Linked DNA regions of Cricetulus griseus. The protein of the gene in region 1 purifies or fractionates together with the protein of each later gene. This does not show direct contact. Links are inferred from orthologs where the notes say so. Each region holds a gene or a part of one and is shown on either strand. Other genes may lie near its edges.

The links.
Region 2: the proteins of Rnf123 (region 1) and Nfkb1 purify together in Homo sapiens (affinity purification with western blotting; 4 studies listed by BioGRID). This does not show direct contact. The link is inferred for Cricetulus griseus from reciprocal best matches to the Homo sapiens genes RNF123 and NFKB1.
Region 3: the proteins of Rnf123 (region 1) and Ubac1 purify together in Homo sapiens (affinity purification with mass spectrometry; 7 studies listed by BioGRID and IntAct, counting the BioPlex papers as one, with this or other methods). This does not show direct contact. The link is inferred for Cricetulus griseus from reciprocal best matches to the Homo sapiens genes RNF123 and UBAC1.

What each region holds. Positions count from the first base shown.
Region 1 is NC_048597.1:216,244,510-216,252,045, forward strand, and holds the end of Rnf123 (E3 ubiquitin-protein ligase RNF123), read right to left. Parts: intron 7,004-7,536; coding exon 6,864-7,003; intron 6,764-6,863; coding exon 6,575-6,763; intron 6,504-6,574; exon of another isoform or gene 6,488-6,503; coding exon 6,412-6,487; intron 6,187-6,411; coding exon 6,102-6,186; intron 5,782-6,101; exon of another isoform or gene 4,882-5,781; coding exon of another isoform or gene 3,355-4,881; exon of another isoform or gene 2,482-3,354; coding exon 2,339-2,481; intron 2,190-2,338; coding exon 2,095-2,189; intron 1,985-2,094; coding exon 1,899-1,984; intron 1,827-1,898; coding exon 1,706-1,826; 3' UTR 1,476-1,705; downstream 1-1,475. Other genes in the region: Gmppb (mannose-1-phosphate guanyltransferase beta), read left to right, coding at 1-67, 271-429, 514-592, 667-794, 878-1,060, 1,143-1,274; Amigo3 (amphoterin-induced protein 3), read left to right, coding at 3,355-4,881. UniProt on the Homo sapiens protein: Catalytic subunit of the KPC complex that acts as E3 ubiquitin-protein ligase. Promotes the ubiquitination and proteasome-mediated degradation of CDKN1B which is the cyclin-dependent kinase inhibitor at the G0-G1 transition of the cell cycle.
Region 2 is NW_023276806.1:23,896,812-23,907,932, reverse strand, and holds the end of Nfkb1 (nuclear factor NF-kappa-B p105 subunit), read right to left. Parts: intron 10,575-11,121; coding exon 10,373-10,574; intron 9,916-10,372; coding exon 9,746-9,915; intron 9,414-9,745; coding exon 9,311-9,413; intron 7,697-9,310; coding exon 7,572-7,696; intron 6,842-7,571; coding exon 6,775-6,841; intron 6,445-6,774; coding exon 6,272-6,444; intron 5,516-6,271; coding exon 5,338-5,515; intron 1,719-5,337; coding exon 1,558-1,718; 3' UTR 887-1,557; downstream 1-886.
Region 3 is NC_048599.1:137,383,020-137,394,140, reverse strand, and holds part of Ubac1 (ubiquitin-associated domain-containing protein 1), read left to right. Parts: intron 1-479; coding exon 480-553; intron 554-5,747; coding exon 5,748-5,855; intron 5,856-7,161; coding exon 7,162-7,264; intron 7,265-7,543; coding exon 7,544-7,652; intron 7,653-8,335; coding exon 8,336-8,567; intron 8,568-9,552; coding exon 9,553-9,639; intron 9,640-10,428; coding exon 10,429-10,567; intron 10,568-11,121.

The DNA.
Region 1 (7,536 bases):
CTGTGATTTTCCCTTCCAAGCCATGGTGCAGTTCCATCGACACCATGGCCAAGAGGGCTCCATCTTGGTAAGAGACCGAGTCTTCCTTTTCTGGTGTCCACACCCTCTTACCCAGTCACTGCTAACCCTCAGTCTCAGCGTCTCTTCCTTGTTGTGCAAAGCTGTGCAGAATGTTTTTGGGGCAAAGCCTCTGATATGTGGGATAGGCATGTGTATCAAGGATAAAGAACATTGGGCTGGGCCTAAGGTACCCTCCGCCTCCATATTCAGGTAACCAAGGTGGAGGAGCCTTCCAAGTATGGTGTGGTGGTTTGTGAGGCTGACACAGGCCGCATTCACCGTTTTGTTGAGAAGCCGCAGGTATTCGTGTCCAATAAGATCAATGCAGGCATGTACATCCTGAGCCCCTCTGTGCTGCAGCGTATCCAGGTGTGTAGTGGAGAACTGCCGGGTAGGCTGGGGGGGGGCAGGCCTCTGCTGAATGACTTGCTCACAAGTTGCCCACTTCCACAGCTGAAGCCTACATCCATTGAGAAGGAGGTCTTCCCAGTTATGGCCCAGGAGGGGCAGCTATATGCCATGGAACTTCCTGGTGAGGCAGAGAGGCCATAGGGTGAGGGGTCGTCTGTGGCTAGGCAGAGCCCTCTGACTCATCTCTCCCTCCAGGCTTCTGGATGGACATTGGACAGCCCAAGGACTTCCTCACTGGCATGTGCCTCTTCCTGCAGTCCCTGAGACAGAAGCACCCAGAGAGACTGTGTTCAGGCCCTGGCATTGTGGGGAATGTGCTTGTGGTGAGGCCCTTGCCCAGCCTGTCACTAATCCTTTCAGATTTGGGAGACAAATGACCCACTCTGACTTTCCTCACCACTCTCAGGACCCAAGCGCCCGTATTGGTCAGAACTGCAGCATTGGCCCCAATGTGAGTCTGGGTCCCGGTGTGGTGGTGGAGGACGGCGTGTGTGTCCGGCGGTGCACGGTGCTTCGGGATGCGCACATCCGCTCCCACTCCTGGCTTGAGTCGTGCATCGTGGGCTGGCGCTGCCGTGTGGGTCAGTGGGTAAGTCTGTGAGCTGAGCTGGATGAGGACACGAGCAGGGAACCTGTGTGCTCCACTGACAAGACTTGCTTCCCCACCCCAGGTGCGCATGGAGAACGTAACAGTGCTGGGCGAGGATGTCATTGTCAGTGATGAACTCTACCTCAATGGAGCCAGCGTGCTGCCCCACAAGTCTATCGGGGAGTCGGTGCCGGAGCCTCGTATTATCATGTGAAGGATATGCAGGGCTGGCCAAGCCCCCTTCACCATCACTCAACACCTCAGCAGACCCTGGACTTGGCGCCGTCTGTCTAGGGAGGGATGGAGAAATCCGAAGCTGTTGGACATGTGCCTTCTGATGGGGACAGAAACTGACAGGATCCTGCTGGGCATAACCCACAAGCCCTACTCCCTCAAGAAGAGCTGGGGCCAGGGCTGTATGGAATAATAATTTAATGCTCACTGTGGCCTGGATTGCAAGTCAAGCTCAGGCATAATTAGGGCCATGGCTGGGCTGCCACCATTGAGGCTACACACGGGCAGATGGGTGGAGATGGTAAGAGTGAGGGTGATGGGGGAAAGGCCAAGAGAGCTCATAAATAGGGCTCAGTCTGGGTCTGATGGTGGAGGCTCCAGGACGGTGCAAGCTGTGTGCATCGGGCTGGCCTAGGTAGCTGAGGAGGCGGCACTTGTGCTGGCTGCCTTGTCCCAGTCCTCTACGGATGCAATGGTGGCTTTGCAGAAGAAGCAGTCCTTGTTGTTCATCAGGTGCTGGTTGATGCAGGCTCTACAGGAGGAAGGGGAGTGAGCACTGCCTTGTGTGGCCTAGTTGCCACCCCAAGTCCATGTGCCCACTTACTTGCAGGATTTGTGGCCACAAGGCTGGAACACAGCAGAAATGGGGTGGGCATAGCAGATTGGGCAGAGGTCCTCTTCACTGGTGGGCTACGGGATGGAGAGTGAAGAGTGGGTTGGGGCTATGCCTGTACCTACCCTGGTGTATACGGATGTATTAAAATGGCATGGGCCGGCCTGTGTGTCTTAGCCCCACTCACCAGGGAGGCAGCAGCTGCCTGGGCCGACGCAGCTGTCAGGTGTGCCAGCATCTGCTCCACCTGGGCGAGCTCCTCTGCACTGATGTAGTCTGTGTCTGGGTTAGTGGTAGGTGGTGTCAGGCCCCTCCTAGGCCCAGAGCTCAGTGCCTCTTGGATACTCCCAGGCAGGAAATTTGCTATTCCTGAGGATCCTGAGCTCAGGAGACCCTGAAACTCTTTCCTGACCCAACCCTGACCCACTTACAGCTCTGTAGAGAGAAGCGCTTCCGGTCAGGGGCGGGCAAGGCAGTGCCAGGTGCTAGGGGCTCTGGCTGCCCCAGGAGGTAGCATATGGACCGGAGCTGGAAGCAGGGATCAGCCAGGAGCACAGAGGTGGCTTGCTCTGTCCTAGATGGGAAGGTGCAGAGGCAGTGGGGAAGCTGTGAGCCTGTGTGGACATTGTCTCCATGGGGGAGGGGGTGACGTCCAATCCAGAGGCCTCATTATTATGCCTGCATTCTTTACATCTTGTTGTTTACCAACCCTCTGAAGTCCTGGGTCCCAGTAGGTCCAGAACGGCCTATTACCAGTTTAAAGGGAAGAGGTGTTGTTGATGGCTCATAGGGGAAAGCTGCTTGCTACCAAATGTCACAACTTGAATGTGATCCCCAGGAACCACAGAATGGAAGAAAAAAACCACTCCCACCAATTGTCTTCTGACTTTCTGCATGACACCTCCCCACACACACCAACACACAAGTAAATCTAAAGGGAGAAGGGTGCGGATTCCACCTAACCTAATATACATTAATCCTTCAAAATCACTTAGAGAACATTAGCCACAAAAAACTTTCTCCCCAGACTTAAGCTCTTTTGCTCTTAAATAGGGAGGAAGTCAGGCTTCCAGCCAAGCGAACTGAAGACACTGGGGCCCTCTGGTGGTCACACTGGGTCTTCGAGTGCCAGGGCTGCCCCGCCCCTTAGCAGTAGGAGCCAATGGGAGCTTGGGTCCCCACCCCTGGGCAGTCACTTCCTAGTGAGTACTTAGAATCCAGTCAGAAAAGCGTTTGAAGAAGCTAGCGAGCTTAAAGAAGGGCTGGGGCCCCACCTCACAACCCCAGACCAGAAGAGCAGGAGGCAGCTGGGCCGGTGGAGCCGGCATTGTGCCTCTCAAGCCATGGGCCACAGGGAACCACAACCCGCAAGGCTGTAGAGAAGTGGGTGAGTCCCGGAGCTGTGGACAGCACTGAGCCCCCCATCTCTTCCCTGGTGGCCACTGCCATGGCCGGGCTGGTGGTGCCAGGCATACTGCTGTGCATGCTGAGTGCTGGGTCAGGCACCTCAGATCTGGAGGCCGCTCTGCCCCCTGCTCCCCACGACTGCCCCAATAACTGCATCTGTGCTGCCGATGTGTTAAGCTGCGCTGGCCATGGCTTACAGGACGTGCCGGTAGCATTGCCTGCCACGGCTGCAGAACTCGATTTAAGCCACAATGCACTCGAACGCCTGCACCCTGGCTGGTTAGCACCCCTCTCCCGGCTTCGTGCCCTGTACCTAGGCTACAATAAATTGGATGTGCTGGGCCATGGTGTCTTCACCAATGCCAGTGGCCTCAGGACACTTGACTTATCGTCTAATATGTTGAGGATACTCCACACGCATGACCTGGATGGACTGGGGGGGCTGGAGAGATTGCTCCTGTTCAATAACAAACTGGTGCACTTGGACCCGGATGCCTTCCAGGGCCTGAGGATGCTCAGACACCTCTATCTCAGCTGCAATGAACTCGCCTCTTTTTCTTTCAATGGTCTGCATGGTCTGGGGACCACCCACCTGCGCACTCTAGACCTATCCTCCAACTGGCTGGGACACATCTCCGTCTCCGGGTTGGCTGCACTGCCAGCTTTCCTCAAGAATGGGCTCTACCTGCACAACAACCCACTGCCCTGTGACTGCCGCCTCTACCACCTGCTCCAGCGCTGGCACCAGCGGGGTCTAAGTGCCCTGCGTGATTTTGCACGTGAGTACACATGCTTGGCCTTCAAGGTCTCAGAGTCCCGAGTGCGCTTCTTTGAGCACAGCCGGGTGTTTGAGAACTGCTCAGCTACTGCAGCTCTAGGCTTAGAACTGCCTGAAAAGCAGCTGGACACACAGGTGGGGCAGTCCCTGAGGCTCTACTGCAACACCAGCGTGCCCGCTGCACGAGTGGCCTGGGTTTCACCGAAAAATGAGCTGCTTGTGGCACCAGGATCTCAGGATGGCAGCATTGCTGTGTTGGCTGACGGCAGCTTAGCGATAGGCAGGGTGCAAGAGCAACATGCGGGCATCTTTGTGTGCCTGGCAACTGGGCCCCGCCTGCACCACAACCAGACACTAGAGTTCAATGTGAGTGTACATAAACCTCGCCCTGAGCCAGAGGCTTTCAACACAGGCTTCACCACATTGCTGGGCTGTATCGTGGGCCTGGTGCTGGTATTGCTCTACTTGTTTGCACCACCCTGTCGTGGCTGCTGTCACTGTTGCCGGCGGGCCTGCCGTAACTGCTGCTGGCCCCGAGCCCCCAGTCCACTCCAGGAGCTGAGTGCACAGTCCTCAGTGCTCAGCACTACACCACCAGACGCACCCAGCCGCAAGGCCAGTGTCCACAAGCATGTGGTCTTCCTGGAGCCGGGCAAGAAAGGTCTCAATGGCCGTGTGCAGCTAGCTGTAGCTGAAGACTTCGATCTGAGCAACCCCATGGAGTTGCAGTTCAAGGTTGGCTCCGAGTCAGCCAGTTCCACAGGCTCAGAGGGTCTCATGATGACCTAGACCGCCTGGGTGTCCCCACACTGGCCATAGACCTGCTGCTGCTTGCCTGGTTCACTGATGCAGTCTAGAGAACTGACAGATGCTGGTGGGATGCACTGTGCCTGCTCCTAACTGCACGTGAGCCTTGACCTGTCCTGGGACCGTTCTACTCACTGGTAAAGGGACTGAGGCTCCCCCACTTGCCTCCTGCTCTGTCTGGCTCAGGATAAGGCCTCAGACCACTAGAGCCTGCTTCCCCTAGGATCTCTGAGTGACCAAACGTCCCATGAAGATTAGGGACCAAGACCATCTGGTAAGAGCCCTTGCATTAGAGCTCTGGGACCACCTCAGGAATTGATGCAGATGTTATAGGCGTGGTATAGACGTGGTATAGACGTCAAGCATACCACCTTCCCTTCCTTGCCAGGGAGCTCACCAAGGAGGGAGAAGGCAGCTCAGAAGATCCAGCTCCCACTCTAGGATGGGAGGAATAAATGAGCCCTTCCTGTGCTGCAAGAGAACCCTGTCTATTACCACCATCCAGCCTCCGGAAAGCTCTACAACTCCTGTGGAGTCTGGTGGGCATGCATGACTCTTTCAGGACACTCCCGCAAGAGTAGCCCTGCTGTCTTCAGCCAAAGGTAGAGCCAATCCCATGGGCTCATAACCCAGCAGGAAAAAGCCTGGTGAACACGGCTAATCTGGGACTCATGTCCCTGGAGAGCAGAAGGCCTCTGAAGGACTGGTACTTATCTCAGCCTAATGGCTAAAGCAGTGTCCTGAACTCACATGCCTCTACCACTCCTGCAGGCAGTTAGGGAAGAAGGTCGGAGCCCCTCCCAGGAGGAGCTGGCAGCCCCGTGTGTGTCCTAGATGACTATCAAGGCACTTTGTAATAAAGATGGTACGTGTTCATTGCCAGGCCTTCCCAGATGGGTAGCTTTGTGTGCTCGGCTCTTGATCCAGCAGGGTGGCCCTGACCATCAGAGGATGGCACATCTTCCAAGTTTTGGCATTTATGCCCCTGCCAGAGGCATGGCTGCAAGCTAATCCTACCCAGCCAAAGCAGCTGCTGTTACCACCTGCTCACACCTCACCGTCTACCTTTGCCTCAGTGTCCCAAACTAGATTCTGAGGTCCATTTTGAGACGGAGAAACATGTACACTGAGTCCCTGCCCTATGAGCCCCTCCTCAAAGGGCACACCCAGTTCCCATGGGGCCAACAGTCCCCAACACTCACTCTGAGGCTGGACCATGCACCAGGAGGCGTACCAGGATGCCGGTCACTGCCACCAGGATAGGGTAGTGGTCCACACTCTCCAGGCCTGAGGGGAGGGAAGGAAGATGAAGTACTCATGTGGTTCCTGCTGTGGCAGCAGCTCGAGTCCTGCCCGACACCACTGGCCCTTCCCACCATTCTTCCTACATAGAGGCAAACTGAGGCTGGGAGTGCAACAGTCCTGGTACCGAATGGAGAATCTAGCACTGTTGCTCCTGGCATAGAAACTAAGGCCTTGGTGTGCTGAGGTGCAGGGCATCTAGATCCTTACCAGGAAGCCGTAGGGTGACTACACGGTCAAACAGGTTCCTCTCAGCTGTCACCCGGTTCAGCACCTGGTTCAGCAGCTGTGAGGGCAGGAGCCTATTGGTGGATGGCAAGCGCACCACTTGAGCCATCCCCGGGTCCTACCCTCCTTGCCCAGATGGACACACCTGTGCAAGACGCCGAAGCAGCATCTCAGAGGTAGGACGGGACCAGTCAAGGAATATCTCAGGCACCAGTGTGATGGTCATTTCCAAGACTCGCAACAAGCTAACCGAGAGGTCAAAGCAGGTGGCACAGACCTTGAGCTGCCGGCTGTCCACAAAGTTTCGCTCTAGGCGTTCAGCAGCCTGTTGAATCTAAGTCACCAACAGAAAGGCAGGTAGCAGTCAGAGAGGCCTTGCAACAGTGCTTGGCCTTGGCCTCTGCCCACCCCTACCCCAACACACCATAGCCCACCTCCTGGATCATGCCGATGAACTCAGAGAAGGCCCAGTTAAGCTGGTTAAGGACACTGTTGAGGAAGCTAGGTGCTACATCAGGGCCTTGTCGTAGAAGATCTGCCATGTGCTGCTGTAGCAGGGTGGAAGGGCAGGGCTCTGGGGGCAGAAGAAAGCCACATTACCAGGGACCTCCAGACAGGAAGCCCCTGCCTGTCATACACTGGAACAGAGGTGTAAGAACAAAAGGATGGCTCTCTAAGAAGGTTCCGATCATGAAAGGAGAGGACTGGCACAGAACTGCTTGGAAGTTAGGAGCAAGCATGCCTCCCTTCCTCCTGCTGAGCAAGCCACCACACCCCACAAGCCCAGAGCAGCCAGACAGCTGTTGGCCCCACGTGAAGCAAATTCTGAATCATATGCCTGCCTGCCTGCCTGCCGGCAAGTGTCAGATATACACAATGAAGACCATTCCCACCAGTATCAAGGCTAGCTTCTGCAAGAGCCCAGATTGGGCCCTGCTGTCCTCTGCTGCCCTTGGCCTGGCCTTGGCATATGGCTTAGGTGGTGAGTGCCAAGTCTGGGCTGGAAGGGCAGCAGTAACCAGAGCTCTCAGCTGCAGCTGGCCCAACGTACCTCTCCACCCCTCTGATCAAATCAATAGTCCCTGCACACAGGGGCGGCATCTGCCC
Region 2 (11,121 bases), on another chromosome or scaffold:
CACAGACCAAATGATCTTGGTTATACATCAGAGTCCATCGTAGGGATTTAAAGCCATTCATTAACTCTTCTTTCTGATTTCAACTCTGAATGAAAAGTCACTTCGTTTCATGTTGAAAGGCCTTTTGGGTATGTTGAAATTTAGTTTTGAATTAAAAAAATGTATATTTTCTTACAATCTTAAACATGCACACAGTGTAGTAAATCAGATACACACACATTGTCCTCTCTTGTTTTCCTACTCCCATTGAAACCCCCTCTGCTTTCATTCCTTTATGTTTGTGTTATGTGTAACTTAGTTTAATTAGGGACACTTGTATGAGCCAGTAAATGGTAGGGGGCCATTTACTGAGGCATGGGCAGGGTACCAGGAGCTGCACCATCAAAGAAATGACCCCTCACTTCCCTAGCAGCCATTAATGGCCAGTTGTTACTTGTGTGTGCGGATGGCATTCAGGAGTCCCTCCCTGTATAGGCTGAAGGGCCACATCTTGCACAGGTTTTGTGCAGCCAGCCGCAATTTTTGTATGTTCATGAATGCAATGGCCACAGTGTTCAGGAGATGACATGCAGAAGTTTCAATATGTTAAACACTGCAGACACAGAAAGAAAACACTGGAGAGATAATGTATAGAATGGAAAATGTCGATGCCATGTGTCAAAATGAGGTTTCCTGGGCCAGAATTTGCCAGATTCAACTTCAGTCTTGTGTTATAATATTTCTTCCCACATTTGTCTTTTTTTTTTTGTACATTTTTAGCTTAAAAAACATGTCTAAAGGATCACTGATCCCAGTTACAGGGAGAAGCAGCTGTGATACATAGGCTATGGATTGATCCCAGTTTCAGGGGTTCCTCTGAAAAAGTATTTGCAGAGATCAGACAAGATGAGGTCAACAATGTGCTTGTCCTTTTATTATAAAAGTAAAATAAAAAATAGCATTTATAAATCCAACATTTTTCTTTTAAAGTATTTGATTTAGAAAACATATTTACAATAGTAAAATGCAGAAGGGGAAATAATATTCTCAGCATGGATTGTAGCATCTTTTAAATATTGTTAAGTTCATGTGTTTTTCTAAAATCACAGATAAACCACATTAGAAAAAGCAATCTTTTTTTATTACTCATCAAGGTACTCATTTAAAAATATCTTTTTCCTTAACCTTAATTTGAATGCACAACTGTACTGTAGATGGCTAGAAAGAACACCAGGTGGGGACAGTGATACCTTTTAATGACAGCAGGGACCCAGCAGAGGGACAGCAGCAACAACACAAAGCAAGTGTAATCCAGGAGCAGCTGGAAAAGCTCAAGCCACCATACCCCAAGCCACAGCTGAGTGCTGTGATTGCTAGATACCATCTGAATGTGACAACTAAAGTTCATTTTAGAACCCAGAAAGGAAGCCAAATTCGGAAGGCCTTGAATGAAATCAAGAATGACCCGGTGGGCCGGTAATCCTCCAGCACCTTTGGATTCACTCTGCCTTCCTCCTCTGGATTGATGCAATGGAATTTCAGGCTTTGGTTTACACAGTGTGGGAAATGGCCAGCAGGCTAAATTTTGCCTTCTATAGGTCCTTCCTGCCCATAATTGTGGGGCATTTTGTTCAGAGATAGCAGTGAGCTGTCTCCAGGCAGAGACTCTGTAAAGCTGAGTTTGCGGAAGGATGTCTCCACACCACTGTCACAGATGCTGTCACTGTCCTGGAGCTCATCTGTGGAGAAAGCACAAATTCATTGGTGGCTTGGCTGGGCCAAGGCAATGCCGTTGTTCTTCCCCACTGTCCTAGTCATCATCTCCAACTGTGAACTGAAGAGAGTCTCAAGGGAGGAACTGCCCAGACGACACTGGTCCGGGGGCATGCCTGAGTGGGGCTGTCTCCGTTGTTAACTGAGGTAAGATGGCCTACCTACTATAGACCGCATCCCTTCCTGAGAGGTGGTCCTGGGCTGTGTAAGAAAGCTAGGAAAGCATGAACCAGTGAGGCAGCAAGCAGCAGTCCACCATGGTTTCTGATTTAGAGTTCCAGCCCTGACTTCCCTCTATGATGGATGGTAAGCTGTAAGCTGAAATAAACCCCTTTCCTCTAAGTTACTTTTGGTCAGAGTGTTTTATCACAGCATTATAATAAAACCAACCCCCACCTTCTACAGCAGTGGAGCTCCCTGACCTAGATCTTCTGTGGACAGCTGTACAGAGGGATGTGTTTGCTAGCTTCCATCAGCCACTGCAGCCCACCTGGCCACCCATGCTCAACAGCGTTGCTTACAGCGGCATGAAGGGCATGAGATAGCAAATGACATTAAAAACAAAAACTGCTGTAGTCAGAGTTGGCCAAGAGGACATCTTTCTTTTGAAATCTCGACTTCTGTTTGTTGGAATCCTTTCTGATTTCTCTTGATTCAGAATATACATATTTTCCCCTTAGAAACAAGGCATATTTTTCTAACTGCTCTATTAGTTTTTTATAGCCAGGAAAACTGCTGAACATATGACAAAATAAATTCATAACAGAAGTAGGAGCTAAAAATGAGATCTCTCTTTGGGCTGTATGAGCTATTAAATAACACACATTGCCTAGAATTTTCTTGGTGTGAGAAAATGAAACTATTTTGTAAAAAATGTGTCTATACTAAAAACTTAAATTCTGTTTGTTGGAAAGCATCCTTGGGACCTGACCAGAGCAGATTAGTCTCTGTACAGAGGGACTAAGGAAACAGAAACCTAACACACACTAAGCAAATGCTTGATTCTCATCATTGAATCTTAACACCAGAACTGAGACTTCAATGACAATACCGTGGTGTTGTCCTGGTGCTAACTCCAATCAATAGTCTTTGTTATCTGTTACGTAATAGAGACTGTGGAGTATTTTAAAGGCTTGATGTTTATTATGGTTTGGATCTTAAAATAACACCAAAAGCTGTGTTAAGAAAAGGCCTGTTAGTAGCCTGTGACATATGGTGGGAGTACAACTTTTTGAAGGTAGGGCCTCAAAAGAAGGAAGTTAGGTCACTGGGGGTGTGGCCTGGAAACAGATACTGGGCTCTGGCTCCTCCCCATCTCTGTGTGCTTTCCGAACACCCTGAAGTGACAGGATTCCTCTACCATGTGCTTCGTCCACAATGAAGGGGTTGCCATATCTGAAGGCAACAGACCATGGGACCTATAGACTGTGAGCCCAAACCAATCTTTCCTCCTTCTGAGGTGTGTGTACATGTGTGGAGTTCACATCGGGTGACTGCCTTGACTACTCTCCATCTTGTCTTTTCTGACTAACCAATGAGCCCCAAGGATCCACCTCCCTTGCTGTCCCTTCTTGCTCCAGGCTTGGGCAACTGGGGTTACAGGTATTTGTCATCCTTCTGGCTTTTTCAAAGACACTGGAGGAGAAAGTCAGGCTGTCACATTTGCCACCGTCCTGGCTGCTAAGTATTTACTTTTTAATCATGATAGGAGCCCCATTTTGTCACATCACTGTGGTGCAGAGAACAGATGGAGGGAGGGAGTCAGCAAAGAAACAGCCACTGCCAGAGCTCAGGCAAGAAATGAGTGAGGATGGGCTGGACGGGGCAGCTGTCACAAAGAGAAGGGAACTTGCTGGGCTGAACAGGTGTTGAGCACCAGAAAATGTTCATGGCAACTCTTAGATTTTGTCTTCGTCTGGAGGAGGGCTATACTTTTGACAGATGTGGCCAATATGAGTTTGTGAAGACTAAAGAGTTGTGTGCAGATAATAGGATTTATTCAGCCATCAAGAAAGATGCAATCTGCAGGGAAATGGGTGGAATTGGAAAACACTAATCAAGGTAAGCCAGAGATCCTAGCTTCCAAAGGCCACATGTGTATTTATGTGGGAGTAAATATGGGTAGCGGCCAGGAAACTACGAAGGGGTCTTTGGGGGGCTTTAAAAGGAGGGAACAGTGTAGGGAGGGTAATAGAACACAGGTGAAAGTGGAAGTGAAAGATTGGGGAGGAAGGGTACAAGGGAGGACAGGAGTGGGGCATGGGCGGCTGGAGGGTGGAAGAGGGAGTGGTGAGAGGAAAAACCAGGACTAAGTGTACAGAAATGCCATAAGGAGACCAAGCGAACACACAGACACACACGCACGCACGCACGCACGAAGCTCACACATGCACACACTCTGCAGAGAAGCATGTGTAGGACTGGGCCTGCCAGTAAAGAGCAGTGAGGGGAGGCGGCACAGTGCACGTGCTGCTGAAAAGCCCTGAGTGGACACTGAGGAGCACCATCAGCCACGACTGACACATCAACATCATGAGCAGATGGTGGCTCGTCTGGGACATGTGAGGTCATATGAGGAGAGTGGTGGGGACAGAACCAGGCCCAAGGGGTCAAGAAGTGGCCAGAGGTGACGAGGTGGGTAGAAACTTTAAAACTATTCTTCTGAGAGGCTTGGACCCAGCTAAGGAATGTAAAAGGAAGTGATGTTTTATTATCTCTAAACTTATGCTCTTTAAGGTTGAGAAAATTACAGCCTGATAACGAGGTTCCCACATCAGGCGGGGGAGGAACTGGCAACACAGAACAAGAGGCAAGAATCAGGGAGCCAGGACCTGCTGGAGATGAGAGGGAGGTCCCCAGGTAGAGGGCAGTCACACAGCCTACTGAGCCCAGATGGAAGGTCTCCCATGTGGGTACTGGCATGGTGCAAAGATGAGAGACTGCTAATTGTTTCTGTTTTTTTTGTTAGTTTTTTGTTTTTAATGGAGTCTTGTGGCATACAAGGTGAGCAGGAAGAAAGGGGTGTTGAGTTTAGAGAAAGCATAAAATGGTCTGAATAAGGTAGAATAACAAAATGGTAAGAAAGACAGGGTTCGTGGTCTATACTGAGCTCCAATCCTACAAATTTATGTTTTGGGGGAATGACAGGTGGCACTGTTAATGTGGGCAAATGAGTCAGGACCATGAGTGCGGACGGCAGCTGAAGGAGACGGCTGGTGGAAGGGTGGAGGAGCTGAGGGAGGGTGGCATGGAAGAAACGGTCATACTTTATGCATATTGCCTGGGTGCTGTCCCTTGTCTTGTGAACGCAGGGCTATTCATCTCTCTTTAAACCTTTAGAGAGTCTCTTTAAATTTAACAGATATGAGCAATAGTGTTTCTTCAACCCCAACATCCAATGTTTAATAAGAATGCCAGTGACCCATGTACCGATGTGAGTGTCTTTGGGAAAGGCCCCTTCATGTGCATGGGAGCATGGTGGGGAGCGAGTGGCGTGCCACAGGGGATGATGTGTCCAGGAAAAGACTGGGAAAAGGAACTGTAGCGCCACATCACAGAGCAAAGGAGATTTCTCAGCCTCTTTACCTAAGTGCTGCCTTGTGGAAGAAGATGAGAGAGGCAGCATGTGGGCCTGAGCAGTGGTCACAGGGCTGGAGGCTGTGGTTTCCGGGGTGCAGAAGTCTGCCTGGATCACTTCAATGGCCTCTGTGTAGCCCATCTGTCGCAGGGCCTCCATCAGCTCTTTGATGGTGCCCCCAGAGACCTGGTAGGAAAATGGAGAGTATGTTCGTGTTCCAGCCCCTTCGCAGACATCTATCCCTTCTTCCCTGTGTCTGCTCCAGAGAGCCTGGTGGGTCTGGGGAGTGCAGAGAGAGGAGTACCCGAGGAAATACAGTGTTTAAGTTCTATTTCCCATCTTGGACCAAAAATCACTCAGGAAATCACAGGAGAGATGGAGAGGGAGAGGAGAGGGAGATGGAGAGGAGGATGAAAGATAGGGAAAGAAAAGAGGGGCAGGAGAGAGAGAAGCTTGTGAGTTTACTGACGTAGGGAGACTGCTTGCAGTGACATCTGGGCTCAGAAGTCAGGGAAGACAGTGGCTAACAAGGACAGCCTCATGCACAATAATCTCCCCATGGTTTTCTCCTTTTTGGTTTAGAATTGTTCCAATAGGAGTCACCTCATGAACCCATGGCCCTGGGTCCCCCTCTTGGAAACAGGGGCTGTGCACACCGATCAGAGCTTAGGTCCCCGTTGTGTGGTCAGTAGCATTTTGTGCAGGAAGGCTCTGAGGACGTGGAAACAGGGCATGTCTAGAGGCAGGTGGCCAGTCTTCTCAGGAAGACAGGCTTCCATCCTACCCTGGGTCCCTTTTGCCTCCCAGCGCCCTAGGCGATGGCTGGCTTTCTTCCTCAGAATTACTTCATAGAGGAGGGATTGTGCCCTGGTCAGTGATGCTAGTGGTCAACCACGAACAGTCACACAAACAACTACAAATGGCAGGTGGCGCCTTCCTTACCTCGTAGTTGTCCATCAGAGTTTTAGAAGGGGCAGGACTCAGCCGGAAAGCATTATTTAGGATCCCCAGACCTAACTTCTGTGCCAGAGTGGCCCAGTTTTTGTCTGGATCAGGGATCTCCAGCAGCTTGTAGAGCTGCAGCCTTGTGTCTTCTGTCAGCTGCTTCATGTCTCCTAAGGAAGAACCACAGCGGCTTTACCCTTCCAGGGACAATCAGTCGGAGAGGACCCGTCATTGTCATTTTGCTCCCCAACTTCTGCTGGAAGCAATGAAGCTTCTAGAAAGTCCAGAGCCCCAGCTGAGTAGTGGCAGCCTATGCTTGTATCAGATCAGGGCCAGGCTCCCCCCTTTCCCATCCCCCAGGGCTCTGACTCTGAAATAAGAACAGGGCCTTGTGTAGCAAACCCTGTAACCATTCCCAAAACCCCGCCCCCATAATCCACAGCATGGGGCTGAGGGTGGGGGCTACACTGGCTGAGAGAATCTGCTCGGCCACAACTCACCTTGTGGTAGTACATCATCAGATGTGAACACAGGCTCATATGGTTTCCCATTCAGTATGTCAAAGACCTGTTAGACAGAAGAAAATAGGAAAATATTTCCATAAATGACGTTTAAAAGTCCTTAACCACAAGCTACCCTGGTGTTCTCTGAAGTTCCTCTGCTGGTGGTGCACAGGTTAGGACCATCACAGGCCACTGTGGTGGGTCAGTCTTCTGTGTTCCCTGCAGGGACACCCAGGCCAGCAAACAGGTTCCCAGGAGGCGTGCAGTATAGCTGAGGCGCTGTCGCACCCATACAAACTGACTGTCTCAGATCCTTCACTGTGTACTCTGCCCTCTGGCTCTTTTCTCTTGGCACAAATCCCTAGTGACTGCCTCCTCCTTTAAGTTTAACCACTGCTGAGTCTTAAGGAAGGGTTTTAATGTGTTCATGGAAATCCACAAAGGAATTCCTAGTTTATTTTTATGCTCAGAAACCCTTCACGCTAGCTTCTGATGGAGATGGCAAGGTTCTGGTCCCGTGCACTGAAGGGGTGACTCTTCTGTGGGTTCTGTGCTTTTCTAACTTCTCCCATCTCAACTCTGATCTGATTAAGCAAACAGCTTCACACTCAGGCCTCAGCTGACCTAGATCTCTCCTGGATAGGCATTTCAAGATAAATACGCCTCTTGCTCAGCAGACTTCATACAAAGACACGTTCTCTAAAGAGGAGAGTGCCAACAAGACCATCTGTTTTTAACACTCCTGAGCCACCGGCTCCCCCCAAACACCATGAGATGAACTGGGCAGGGCTCACCTGAGAGTTGGCAGCCATGTCCAGGGGTGTGGTACCTGGCACCACTCCCTCATCCTCTCCAGCCTTCTCCCAAGAGTCGTCCAGGTCATAGAGAGGCTCAAAGTTCTCCACCAGGGGGTCTGCTCCTATGGAATCAGGCAATATGGTGTTATGTAAAATCCAAAGCTTGTCAACTCCCAACTGCACACACAGTCACATTTCTAAGGGCAATTTCATCGAGCTCACAGAGGCAATTACATGTTAATGTTTATTTCTAGTAAAATTGAAAATGGCTTTTTAAGTTTTAACCTACTCTTACTGAAAATCTACCAAAGGATTTTTCTATAGCCAAGGACATGATTACAAACAAAGGACATCAAATACTCTGACTTGCAATTCTGTAGGATGTATTTCATTGAATGATGTACAGGTGGCAACTTACAGGGACCAGGATGCACCTTCAGGGTTAAGTCCTGAATCTTCAGATCTACATCTACCAATGCACACATCTCACCTGCTTCTCTGTCTTGCTCAATACAGCCAGTCTGCTGGATGTCTTGCTGCCCTCGGCAGCCTGGTCTGCTCTATTAGAATGTAAGCACAACACGGCCAGGAGTGTGATGGGGAAACGGGTTTGAAGTCCTGAGGGCCACACATGGTCCCTTCAGGATGTGACCTTCAGGATGCCAGCCTGGGCTTTTTGTCTTTGCATCACACAAGCTAATATTTGCTATCTTTTCATGGTGAATTCAAGTAAAAACCTTTACATTTGTAAATTATGCTTTTACTTCTGAAACAGTATGTATCTTTGGTTGGCTCAGAACTACATGGACCAAACTGGCCAAAGCTTGTGGCAATTCTCCTGCTTCAGCCACCTGAGTGTTGGGATTACAGGTGCACAACACTATGTCTGGCTAAGAGACATTTTTTTTTTTTTAAGTATAATCATTGACTTCTAAAATGACTCACATGTACTCAACTGGGGCTCCTTGGGTAAAACAAAGTACAATTTAACTAAGGAGAAAAAGGCTGTTGCTTATTTTACTTTGTTTTTCTACCTTTACTACACAATCCATATATAATTCAGTTTGCTTGAATCTATGAAGAATGTGCCTTCCACAAATCTTTTCTAAAATGACTTCTGAAGTAAATTAGGTATGTCTCAACAAGCCAGAAATGACAATCTCATCAGCCATGTGTTAACACAAAAGCACAAGGCATTGGAGACCAGATGAGCTGGAGAATTTCCTTATGCTTTACAGGACTAGAGAGCTACCTAGAAGATTGCCTTAGGAAGAAACACCGGGCAGAGGATAAAAGTCTGTAGGTCCAGGCTGTGGCACTGTGACTCATAGCTGTCTAGGACACTGCAAGTAGGGCCTGCTCATCTTTCCGGTCTGTCTTCTTGGCAGTAAAATGGGATTAACAACAACAGTACTGATCTCAGAGAGTTACTTCGGATTAAGTGTGGTAAAGGAGCGTGTATGTGGGAGGCCAGCACGGTGCCTGGAACACAATAAAGGCAGTGAATGCTAGCAAGCTTTAATGTTTCATGACGTGGCCATCAAGGTAAACCCAGGATCACAGGGCCAGACAGAGCCTCTGCTGTAAGCAAAGTGTGATCAGCCAGGTAGCTCTCCTCTACCCACACTTTCCAGGAGCCCAACTGCAGCTAAAGGAGGAAGCTTTAGCTTTGCACCCTCAGGCAGAGTTTGCATGGCTGGTGTCCATGTCCATCAGTGACCGGCAGGCCATCTTACCTGCTGCTTTCAGAAGAGCTGCCAGTCTGGTGGAGCCTCTGCCAGCTGCTATATGTAGCGGTGTAGTCCCATCATAGGTGGTACTGTCCACGTGGGCATCGCCCTATATCCACCCACAAAGAAAGAGTGAGCAGAAGGCCCTCGTCTCCACTTGTCTCTACCGCCCCACCTGCGTGGCCTCTCTCTATCTGCATGGCCTCTCTCTCAGGTTATATCATTCGCACCACTGCTGCACTGGGCTGGCTGGTCATTGAAGAAGTCCCCAGTTAGAGAGGGGCTGGAGCTGGGGATGCAGGAAGTGGCCCCTCTGAACTCATGCAGATGCTAAGCAGGGCCGAATCCTGACAGCACAGCTGGCACTGGCGTCATTCTTTGAAAAGACTTCCCTAAAATTCCCTTAGGGATTTAATTCAAGATCACAAGTATGCCCTTTACCTCCAGAAGCAGGCAGCCAGCCAACGAGATGTTGTCGTACTCCACGGCCAGGTGCAGTGCTGTGCGCCCAGACTTCTGCTCCTGAGCATTGACTTCTGCCCCAGCAGCCACAAGCAGCAGTAGACATGGCAGGCTATTGCTCATCACAGCTATGTGAATGGCATTTAGACCTAAGGCCAAGCAAAGATTCAGATGTGGGCGGGACTGGCAAAACTGGACTGTGGGAAGGAGGGATGCCACTAGCTTGCAGCACTTCCGGTTTCTGTTCAGGACATGCTTCAAAGGCTCTGAAGGCCCACTGTTCTGCTTTTAGAATTCACAAGCTCCTATTATGCTCACAGGAGACACTGAGTTACTAAATAAACATTCTCCACATAAATGATACTTTCTATAGTTTAAAGCCAGTGTTTGCTCAGGCCTGCTTTTTCCACTTAATAAGTAATGCTCCCAAATCACCTTAAAGGAGTTTGTTGTGGTAAACAGCAGAAATAGCCACAAGATAGGATGAACTCTGGTTGGCCAAGAGAACACTTGTGGGTCAAGGTCAAGGTCCACACATTTATCAAGCATCAAGCAATGTGGAGAAGCTGAGTGGGGAAGGTTATACAGCAATGCAGCTGCCCTTACCTTCCCCATTGGGGTGGTCTATAAGGAGTGTCGCCTTTCTGTTCTTGAGCAGGACACTGAGGATCTTGTCGTGCCCTTCTCTGGCAGCCAGGTGCAGAGCAGAGTTACCCCAGCGGTCCAGAAGGCTCAGGTCAGCCCCAACCCTCAGCAAGTCCTCCACCACATCTTCCTGCTTGGTGATTACGGCCAAGTGCAAAGGTGTCTAGTTAGAGAAAGGGCAGGAGAGTCGCTAGTTGGATGTGAACACCTGTAGCCCCTGGCTTCATAGTCATCACTGCAGCAAGAGTCGTACTTAGGGCCATTTGTCACTCCCAGATTAACTCTTGGCTTTGTCAGGGGCTTCCTGTTTCACATGGTAGGCTCATAGGCCCAAGGAGGGAACCAGCACGCAACAGTTAGAATTATAGGATAAATTTAAAATGCTTAGTACTTCTGCTTTTGTCTCAGTCCAATTGCTGATATTTTAATTCACCTAGAAGCAAATTTAGTTTTGTTTTTTTTTTAATTTTTTATCTACAGATGGTAATTCTGTATGTTGGCAAATCCAACCAGAGTTGCGGTTTTAATGAAGAAATGCAAATAGACATCAACAAAACAAAACAAAAAACAACCAACAAAGGTACCATCCTTCTACAGTGGCATGGAAATACATTTGCTAAATTAGAACACATTGCTGTGGGCTGGCTTCAAGAAGCCTACTGTTACAAGCTATACCTAACATCATCAAAGGTGTTCCTGGGTTCTAATTG
Region 3 (11,121 bases), on another chromosome or scaffold:
ACCAGCCACTTCAAAGCTGAGGAGGGAGAGCTGGCTTGGCTTAGGAGGGACCCAGAGGAAACCCTGCTTTCTGACATTAAGCATCTAGCACCATTCTTGTGGTGTGTACATGTGTTCATGCAAAGATGTGTGTACATGTATAAATACGCATGTGGAGGTCTGGGGTTTACATGACTTTATTCATTGAGGCAGGGCATCTTTCTGAACCTGGAACTTGTCTACATGCCTATTCTGGCTAGCCAATTTGCTTTGGGGATTTCTTGTCTCTGCCTCTAAAGTACTACAATTATGGATAGACTGCCCTGCCCACCTGTCATTTATGTGGTCCTGGGGATCTGAACTCCAGTTGTCACTCATGTATAGAGAGCCCTTAAGCCACTGAGCTATCCTCCCTAACTTCTGTCTGATACCTTTTGTGTCATTTATGGCTATGAAATGATAACTGACTTCATAGAGATAACTGTTAAATTTTTTTCTAGATGTCTTGTTACTGATAAAAAAGCGTGCTCCTTCCCCACTTCCTAAGATGGCTGATGTCTCAGCAGAAGAAAAGGTAAGTTTCAAAGTTTGGAACTAGTGCTCTTCTCTTCACTGGTAGTTATTTCTTGTTCTTCAGACTTCCTGGGCCTATATAGTCTCTCCACAAATGTGTGCTCTAAGGGGTCCTTCATCATGGCCGAGCCTGTTCTGCTTTGAGTGTGTTTGTGATTGGTGTCTAGTGACAGAAGAGCTGCCACTGGTCTGGAAGCAGGGGAAGAGTGAGGGCATCATCCTTAGTGGTGCTTCCTCCTGTGCTGCTTTCTCGTGTGACTCCTGTGCTCTTGTCTTTCCCCTTCTCCCAGAAGAGTAGTGTAGACAGCTGTAGCTAGATGTCTGCACATAGAGAACAGGCATGCAGAGTGGACAAGCAGCTGTGCACCTGGATAGGCCTGGGTGTGTTCTTGTAGTTAACGTCAAGGTTGATGTCCTGGAGTCCATGTTAGAGGGTGATCTGGGGCCGTAGGAACACTACCCACTTTGTTACTTGTGTAGGGGCTGCTCCAGAGCCTATCCTCCAGCAAGGTTCTCTTAGGCAGTGCAAGATACATCCTGTGAGTAGCCTGTCTCAGCACTAGATCACATACCTGTGCCTGGTGGGCAGAAAGGATATTTTAAAGATTAATTTTTAAATTTTTATTTGTATATTTGTGCAAGTCTATGTTTCTATGCCTGCAGAGGCCAGAGAGGATATCTAACGCCCTGGGGCTAGAGTTACAGATGGTTGTGAGCCTCCTGAAGTGGGTGCTGGGAACTGGACGTAGGTCCTGTGGAAGAGCAGCAAGCAGTCTTAACTGCTGAGCTGTCTCTACAGTCCCAGGATGTGCTCTTTTAAAGGGCAGTCACCTTTGTTTAACACCTTTTCCTGTTTCAGGGGTCTGGACTTTCTAATATATGCTTTGAAATGCCAGGGAGAGTGTTGATCTCAGGGAAGGAAGGATCAGGCCAACTCTTGGGCTGGATTCATGGCCCCATAGCAGATGAGCTATTTTGGAGTCTCTTCTGGGTCCAGGGATATAGGAGAGTGCCTGGGCTTCACGCCCTCCTTATCTTTGGCCACCTGGCCATGGTGGTGTGGGTGTGGGTACAGTCAGGCAGCAAATGGGCAGGCTGCTCCATCCATCTTCACAAGACAGATCCTGGGCCACCCCCTGCTTTCCAGAGCTGATGGCGAGCTCAGATTACAGTTCTAGCGTTTAGACTTGAAGTCCCTGTAACTATTAAGAACATAGTTCTGACCTCTAACTGTGTGGCCTGCTGCTTGCTTAGGGTACTTAATTAGGGTACTTACTCAGAGTACCTAGCTAGTAGCTTGCTAGAGCTGCCTTAACTTAGTATATAACTACAGAGTGAAACACCATAGCATTATTGAAAATTCTAAGTAAAAAACAATGCAATTATTAAGAGTTAAAAGAGTACTAAAAATCTAACAAAAAAATATCATGCTGGACTCACATTTCCTAAAGGAAGTCATTCATAACTATTTGTAAGTGTTGGGGACAGATCTAGCTGTCTTATGCTTGCCACTGAAACCCACCCCAGAACGCCTCTAGTCTTCCAGCTGTTACCCTTGGCAGTTCTCTCCCTGCTTTCTAGATACTCTGCATTCATTCTCTTTCTGCCATTACCAGTGTTGGATTATGGCTTCTTAGTGATAAGGATATAGCTCCCCTCCTAGCCTCCTTCCCTCCAGTGATAATAGAAGGTTGGGTGAAGTCTATTTAGTGTTTACTTACTGTTCTAGTTTGGGTTTTTATTGCTGTGAAGAGACACCATGACCGCGACAACTCTTACAAATAAAACTTTTAATTGGGGTGGTTCGCTTACAGTTTCAGAGGTTCAGTCCATTATCATCATGATGGGGAGCATGGCAGAATGCAGGCAGACGTGGTGCTGGAGCAGCTGAAAGTCCTGCATCTTACGGGCAACAGGAAGTCAACTGACTGTTTTCCCTCAAACAGACCTCAAAGCCCGCCCCCATAGTGACACACTTCCTTCAACAAGCCACATTCTAACAGTGCCACTCCTTTTGGGTGCCATTTTCTTTCAAACTACCACAGTCCACTCCCTTGGCCCCCAAGGGCTTATAGTCATATCATAATGCAAAAAGTGCACTCAGTCCAACTTCAAGAGTCCCCCTAGTCTATAACAGTCTCAAACTTGTTTCAAAGTCCAAAGTCTTTTCTGCTTACCTGGCAATCTCCTTAATTATAATCCCCCTGTAAAAATCAAATTAAGAAATCAGATCACATATTTCCAACATACAATGGCACAGAATATACATCACCATTCCAAAAGGCTGGGAAGGGAGCATAACGAGGAAATACTAGACAAAAGCAAGACCAAAAACCACCTGGGCAAACTCCAAACTCTGCAGCTCCATGTTTGATGTCCAAATGCTCTTCAGATCTCCAACTTTGTTCAGCTTTGTTTACCACAGCAAACTTCTTTCTTTTGGGCTGTTTCTACTCCCTGTCAGCAGCTCTCCTTGGCAGGTATCCCACGAGTCTGGCATCTCTGACATCTTGGGTTTTTTAAAGGCAATACAGGCTTTCACTTCACCTCTTCAGGCAGTGGCCTCTCTGGGCCTCCATTCAGGGACACCCCTGACACATGCCTGGCCTTAGTGGCTTTATTCTATCACTCCTTTCTTATATCCTTAATTCTAAAGCCAGAACCGTATGGCCAAAGCTGCCAAGTTCTGCTGCTTACTGGGGCTGGAACATGACCCCCTTGTTTAATTACATCTTCGCCAGCTTTCTGTCTTTCACTGCCTAAGCTTGGCTGTCCTGAAACTGGATCTCTAGACCAGGCTGGCCTAAAACTCAGAGCTCTTCCTCCCCACAGCCTCTGCCTTCGTAGTACTGGGATTAAAGGTGTGTCCCACCACCCCTAGCTCTAAACTTTTCTTCAGTTTCATCTCACAAGTTGGAAACTTAGCTGGGTGGGATCTTGCCCTGAGGTCACCACCCCCTTTATTCCATTTCTTAATCCATTTATCTCCTTGAACAGAGGATTTAGTTCCATTCCACTTTCTGGTGCCCTTTTTCTCCTCAAATATTTTTTCCTTGCTCAGCTTGCTCCTCTTTATTACATATCTTCATTAGAGTTAACACTAATATCCATATGACAGAATCTATACTAAGATATTTTGAGATTTCTTCTGCCAGTGGAATTAATCCAAAACTCTTCACTTAAGCCCCAGGCAGACTCTTTGGACAAGGGCAAAAGGCAGCCACTTCCTTCACCAAAATATCATGAGAATATCTCTAGGCAACATACTAAAATTCTTCTCTGAGTGAGAATTCAAAAATTCTCACTCAGAGTTAGAAAATTCTTCTATGGAGTGAGCCTCCCAAAGTTCAAATAACTTAACACCACTGTCTTCCATGTTCCTACTAGTATGGCCTATTAAGCAGTGCTCAAGGAGTCCACTACTTTTCAAACCCAAAGTACCACAGTCCAAATTCTTCCAAGCACATGGTTAGGCCTATCACAGCAATACCCCAGTCCCTGGTACCAGCTTCTGTACCAGGGACTGTACACAATGACCACTGCAACTCTTATAAAGGAAACAATTAACTGGGAAGACTTGCTTACAGTTTCAGAGGTTCAGTACTAAGGCTTGTGAGGACAGAAGGCTCAGCTGACTCTTGTGCATTCCTTTCTGAGGTTGTGGGAGATCGCTTTCATGCAGCTGACAGTTCCTTAGGCTTGGTGTGGCACACGCCTTTAATCCCAGTCCTGGGGAAGCAGGCAGTTGGATCTCTGAATTCGAGGCCAGCCTGGTCTACAGAGTGAGCTCCAAGACAGCCAGAGCTAGGGGCAGGGAAATATTTTTTTTTTCTCAAGAGCTAATTCTCATTGGAAGCACCCTCTCAGGCATACCACAGGTGTGCTTTACTAACTTCTCTCAACCCACAGTTGACTGTGAAGATTAACCATTTCACAGGGGTAGGTGGAACGTGACTCATCTTGGTCTTCAGGCTTGGTGTTCCACATCTGATCTGAACTGACAGTTTTACTTTGGCCTTTACAGTTTGGCTTCTGTAACCAACTCCTTTTCCTGCTCCAGTCTGACAGAAACCTGAGATCCCTGTGCCCTGAGGAGTTATGGAATTTCTTTTTTTTTTTGTTTTGTTTTGTTTTGTTTGTTTTTCGAGACAGGGTTTCTCTGTGACTTTGGAGGCCGTCCTGGAACTAGCTCTTGTAACCCCTTTACCTTGCTGTTTTGGCTCTTGCCTGGTGTGGACAAGCTGGGTTGGTGTGGCTCTGGTTTGCAGGTAGTGAGGTACCCACTTTCCTTACCTGTTCGTCCTCCTCTTCCTCCTCACTACCTCCTTACACCCCTAGCCTCTGCGAGCCCTGGAAGCTATATGGCTTGTGCCAGCTGCTGAGCTCTCTGGGGTAGAGAACTTGTTGCACCCATCCTACTCCTCAGTCTCACCTATTCTGGTTGGTTTGATGATTTTGTGAGTAGCTGGGGTGAACAGGAAGCAAAGCAGTAGCAGGGTGCTGGAAGGTTCTCCCCTTCCCTCTTTTCCCTCCCTCTCTTCAGAACAGCCTCTCACTCTAGGCTCTCAGGTTTCACCAGACTGTTGTTGGCCAAGGCCAGTAGGTACAAGTATCATTCTGGCTCTTGGATCCCAGGCCTGTCTTTTCTGGCACCAGTATCCCAGTGCTCTTGAGTAGGTTGCATCTTAGTAGGCTGTGTCCTGTGGGCTCTTTGCATCCTGTGGGCTCTTTGCATCCTGTGGGCTCTTTGCATCCTGTGTGTGCCTTCTTGTGCCTTCTGAACATGCCAAGTGCTGCTTCCTCTGCTGGTTTGATTTTCTCTCCTGTCTTCCTTATCTGTGAGCTTCTGCCACCTTCATCCTTTCCTTTCATTCGTGGAGGCTTCACTACAGCCCTGGAGGCCTCAGCCCCAGCTCCACCAAAGTACTACAGGACTGCCACTCCTGCAGCCTCAACCTCTCTGTCTTCACCTGCATATGGTTTATAGCACGTGAGATCATGTCCTAAGCATCTTGTTAGGCTTCTGCCTCTAATGCGGTGCCCGAAACTTCCCAGAATCTTCTAGCTCAAGGGCATCATCACAGCTAAAGCTTAGGAGGTTACTGTTCTCCATGTGGGCTGTTGGTCCAAGTTTGTTGTCATACTCCTCATGTTCTTGGGTTCTTCCTTTCTGACTTGAATCATTTTCTCTTCAGAAGAAACAAGAGCAGAAGGCTCCAGACAAAGATGCTATCCTCCGGGCAACAGCCAACCTGCCTGCTTGTAGCACAGACCGGACTGCAGTTCAAACCACCATGAGAGACGTGAGTACCTGCCTGGTGTGGAACTGGGGGCATGTCCTGTGGGATAACAAGAAGTTCTTTAAAAGTGCTTGGGGTTGGTGTGGTGACATTCAGGACGCTGAGGCAGGAGGATGGCTTGAGCTCAGGTTTGAGGCTAACATGGATGTTATAGTCATCCCCTCATCCCACCCCCATCCTCCCCCCCAAAAAAAAACAAAAAAAAGGGAATCTGAAACAGAATGTTCAGGAACTCTTTACTACTTTTGGACTCTTCTATAAATTACATTTTTTTTTTTTCAAACTACAAAGTTGACGAGATATCTATAGCCCTGGACAGACAGCTGTAGGGAAATGCAGTGACTTTGCTCTGAATTCAACAAAGCTTCCAGGGAGGAATCTGAGCTCCCCAATTACTTTGGACAAGAAAACTAAGTCAGAAGCCTACAGCATGCTAACGTGGGTTAGTCCATGATAAAGTATGCTTCTGTATGCAGGAATTGTGGAAAGTGGCCAGCATTCAGCTTTATCAGTTCTGGATCCATACTGGTACTGCTGGAAGCCGAACCTCTCTGGGGTCTTTTTTGAAGAGTTCCATTTTTTTTTTTTTTTTTAAGATTTATTTATTTATTATGTATACAGTGTTCTGTCTGCATGTGTCTCTGCAGACCAGAAGAGGGCGCCAGATCTCATTTTAGATGGTTGTGAGCCATCATGTGGTTGCTGGGAATTGAACTCAAGACCTTTGAAAGAGCAGCCAGTCTTCTTAACCTCTGAGCCATCTCTCCAGCCCCAAAGAGTTCCATTTGATAAGAGCTTTGTAATTCTTCTGCAGTGGCTGGCACATGTGTCCCTCTCTGGTTTCTGTGGGTCCAACCCTGGATAGGGTCTCAGGAGGCTTTAGGCTTGTAATGTCCCACCTCCAGGCCCAGTATCAGGCAGGGGACTGGTGCTAGAGTGGAGGTAAGGAGTCTCTGATGTCGCCAGTCTGTTATTGAGACAGAGTCTCATTGTAGATCAGGATGGCCTTGAATTCACATCTGTCTGCCTCTGCCATCCAGGTGCTGGGATTAAAGGTGAAGGCCAAATGCTCTCATAGATTTGGAGGGCTATGTTCAGGGGTAGAGTTGCAGATCTAATTAGGTTTGTTGGACATTCAGAGAAATGATCTTTTCTTTCTTTCTTTCTTTCTTTTTGAGACAGGGTTTCACCGTATAGCTTAGGTTGGCCTCAAACTCCCAGCAGTCTTCCTGCCTCAGCCTTGCAAGAGCAGGGATTACAGGTGTGCATCACTGTGCCAGGCATGATCTCTTTCTTCATTCTACTACAGTTCCAGACCGAACTCCGGAAGATCTTGGTGTCTCTCATTGAGGTGGCACAGAAGCTGTTAGCACTGAATCCTGATGCAGTTGAATTGTTTAAGAAGGCAAATGGTATGAGTGGGTCCTAGCCTGCACCCGCCAACTGTCTGCTCAAGCCTCAGAATGTGTCCCCAGCCCTCACATTGAAAGCAGGTTCTGCTTTCAGTTGATTATGGGGTGGGTGTGTGTGGCTCCTGGCCTGTTGTGTGGCCATTCCTAATGTGTAAGAGCTGATGTTAGGGCCTGAGTTTTCTGTGGCATCAGTAATTGCTAAGAGCCTTTGCAGTTGAGACTACGGAGCTTCAAAGGGCTTAGGAATCCCCTCATGACAGGTTTTCTCTTTTTTCTCAGCTATGCTGGATGAAGATGAGGATGAGCGAGTGGATGAGACTGCCTTACGGCAGCTCACAGAAATGGGCTTTCCTGAGAGCAGAGCCTCAAAGGCCCTTCGGCTGAACCAGTCAGTATGCTCTCTTTCTTCCCTTTTTGGAACTTGGCCTGGGCTTCCCTGTGATTCCCCCTCCCAAACTCTGATGGAATCATACTTTTTTTATTGTTTATTTTAAGTGTGTGTGTGTGTGTGTGTGTGTGTGTGTGTGTGTTGAGGATCTCTGTTACCTATGCTGGTCTTGAACTCCTGGATTCATGCAATCCTTTTGCTTCAGGCTCCTGAGTAGCTGGGACTAAAGGTGTGAACCACCATACCTGGCTGTTAAGAGAGCCAAAAAATCAGTCTGTAAATGTGCCCTGCACCTTCAAGTTAGGAGAGCTCTAAGCCAAACTTGCCCCTGGTCTGGACAGGAGTTCTTTCATAGTCTTCTTAACACTTCTGGTTTCAGTTACTCAGGTCCCATATGAATGCTGTAGGCTAGAGCTGGTTAATCGTTGTGTTCTTTGTGCTGTGGACCTAGGACCTAGACTCCTTTGTCCCTTTGTTTGGGGTACATGTCTGTGCTTGCTTTGTTGGGTCTTGGGAGTTCAAGGTAAGGGCTATGTGGAGGTTTCCATCCCAAGAGATCATCTGCCACTGTTGCTGCTGCTATTCTTGTTGTCTCTGTTGAAACACATGTTGTTGGAGCATATGGGATAGGAAAGTCTCTAATGACTGTCCTGGGGGAGTTGAGAAGAATCGTCTCTTTTCAGCATGTCAGTGCCTCAGGCCATGGAGTGGTTAATTGAACACTCCGAAGATCCAGCTATTGACACACCTCTTCCAGGCCACGACCCCCAAGCAGGGGCAGGTGCTGCAGCTACCACCTCCACCTCTCCTGAAGCTGCTGTGGGAACTAGCGCTGGAGATGAGGAAGTCCGGGATGAGCTCACAGAAATCTTCAAGAAGATCCGAAGGAAAAGGGAATTCCGAGCCGATGCTCGGGTAGGTAATGGGGGCCTCAGCATGAGGTTGACTTTGTGGTTGTGTTGTGCAAGGAAGCTGGGAGGCCAGGAGTCTGGGTGGGATGGGAGTTCCCATTGAAACTTGGGCAGACTTGAATCATATATATACATTATATATTTCATAATTATATATTATATAATTCATGTTTGGGTCCAGTTGACTTCTTTCTGCTCAGTGACATCTCCTGAAAATCTGAGTGTGCAAGCTTCTGTCTGTCACAAGTGTGCTCCTGCAGCTGTTGTTGTGGCCTTTGGACTGGTGGGCAGTATCCAGAGAGCTGGAGGAACATGTTGTGGGAGTCCATTATGCTGGCTGGCTACTGGGATAAGGACCCAGGATCCAGGATACTTGTCCACCCTCCCTCAGTTGCCACAAATGCACACTCATGGCCCCACCTCATCATTACCACAGGCTGATGCTCTCTTGTCTTTGTGTTCTTTATTCCCTGTCCTGTTCTTTGCTGGGGTTTTAATTCTTCCTTTGATCTTTCACTTTCCTTCAGGTACAGATCTTCCCACTCAGGGCTCACACTACTTGCTCTCCAGATTTTGGCATGTTGAATACATGGTTTTCTCAGGGCCTTGTCTGTGGCTTGTATTTTCCTTAGCAGTCCATTGGCCAGGTCAAGAGATTCTAGAGATAAATGGGGACTTGACTCTTGCAGGACTGAGGAGAATGGTGAGCTAGGGCCTGTATTTAGTCAGCTGCCCTGGTATAGTCATGTGCAGTACCAATGCACTTCCAAGGCTCTGACTTCTGTCCTTGGCTGTAGAGACAAAACATTTCATGCTTTGCCCTTGCTTTAATTTAAGCAAGGGTCCCAGTGCCCTTTCCTACCTCATGTGTGCTAAGTGTTATCCACTGCCTGTGACTGACTGAAACAAACCTGTACTGCATATGGTAATGCTCCTTGGTGGGCGGTGTCCTCTGGTGAGGTGCTGACCAGCTTGTTCTTCCCTCTTAGGCTGTCATTTCACTGATGGAGATGGGCTTTGATGAGAAGGAAGTGATTGATGCACTCCGAGTGAACAACAACCAGCAGAATGCAGCTGTGAGTGCCAGCCAATCCCACTCTGAGCATCTAATGTTGCCTTTACCTCATGTGGCAGTGGGAACGTCCCTTGTGTTGGGATTTCCATACATAGTTGGTGATGGTACTTATTATTATGTGAAATACTTAGGGCAGATGTTTCAAACAGAAACTGAGAAAATCCTGTACCCACAATGCCTTTTGTGTGGGTTTTTTAACTGTTATAAGATCAAATTCCATAGGATGGGTGTCTTGGTGCACACCTTCAGTCTCAGCGCTTGTGAGGCAGAGGCGGGCGGGTCTTTGAGTTCAGGGCCAGCCAGGGCTACACAGAGAAACCTTGTCTCAAAGAAACAAAACAAACAAACAGAAAAGATTGAATACCATGCCATGAACACATAGCAGCTGTTGCCAGTCTCTCTGTCCAGGGAGGACTGTGACCTCCTCACTTGTGTGTGGAGTTGAGGCTCAGATAACTGAGACGCAGTTCTGCATGCAGACTTTCCAAGCTCATTAGCTGTGGAGAGATATTGTCATAATGGGGTTCCCTCAAGTAAAGCCAGTGTTAGGGACTGTGTTGTGACCAAGGTCATGTCAAATTGAATTGCAACGCCAGGTCTGCTAAAAACGTCTGGTTGATGCTTCCTTCTGTTTCTATCCTGGCTGAATGTGGACCAGGTTTGTTCATGTTAGGGCCCCTTCCTGGTACTGCAGCAGTGGAGGCTTGTGGAGAACCACAGAAAGGGAAAGGTAAGCCTCAGGTACTTTGAGAAGGTACTAATGGCTCCTCTGATGTTCTTGGGTTTTTAGTGTGAATGGCTGCTAGGGGACCGGAAGCCATCCCCTGAGGAGTTGGACCAGGGCATCGATCCAAATAGCCCTCTCTTTCAGGCAATCCTGGACAACCCAGTGGTGCAATTGGGTTTGACAAACCCTAAGACATTGCTAGGTACGTGTGTCTACTTAGGCCAGCTTGGGTAGGGGACACATGGTGGATGGGTTCCCTGCCACAAGACACAGGTGCTAGTGAGATGGTTTGGGCCCTGCTAATGTGCCATGCCAGTTGACTACTGCAAGACATTTTTAGGCATTTTAGCTGTGCTGCTTAAAGCCTGGTCCCTGGAAGTTAGGCTCCGTCTTGGTGGGATGGGTTTTTGCAGAGCAGTGGCCTGCATGGGGATAGTAGCTGAGATGGTGTGTTTCAGCTTTCCTTATTATTTATAAGGCACTTCTCTGAAAATTATTTTACTTGTTTCGTTTTTTTGTTTTTTGAGACAGGGTTTCTCTGTGTAACTTTGGAACCTGTCCTGGCACTCACTCTGTAGACCAGGCTGGCCTCGAACTCACGGAGATCTGCCTGCCCCGGCCTCCCAAGTTCTGGAATTAAAGGCATGCACCACCAATGCCCGGCTATTTTTACTTATGATATATATTAAAAATCTGCCAGGTGGTGGTGGCACACACCTTTAATCCCTGCATTCAGTAGGCAGAGGTAGACAGATC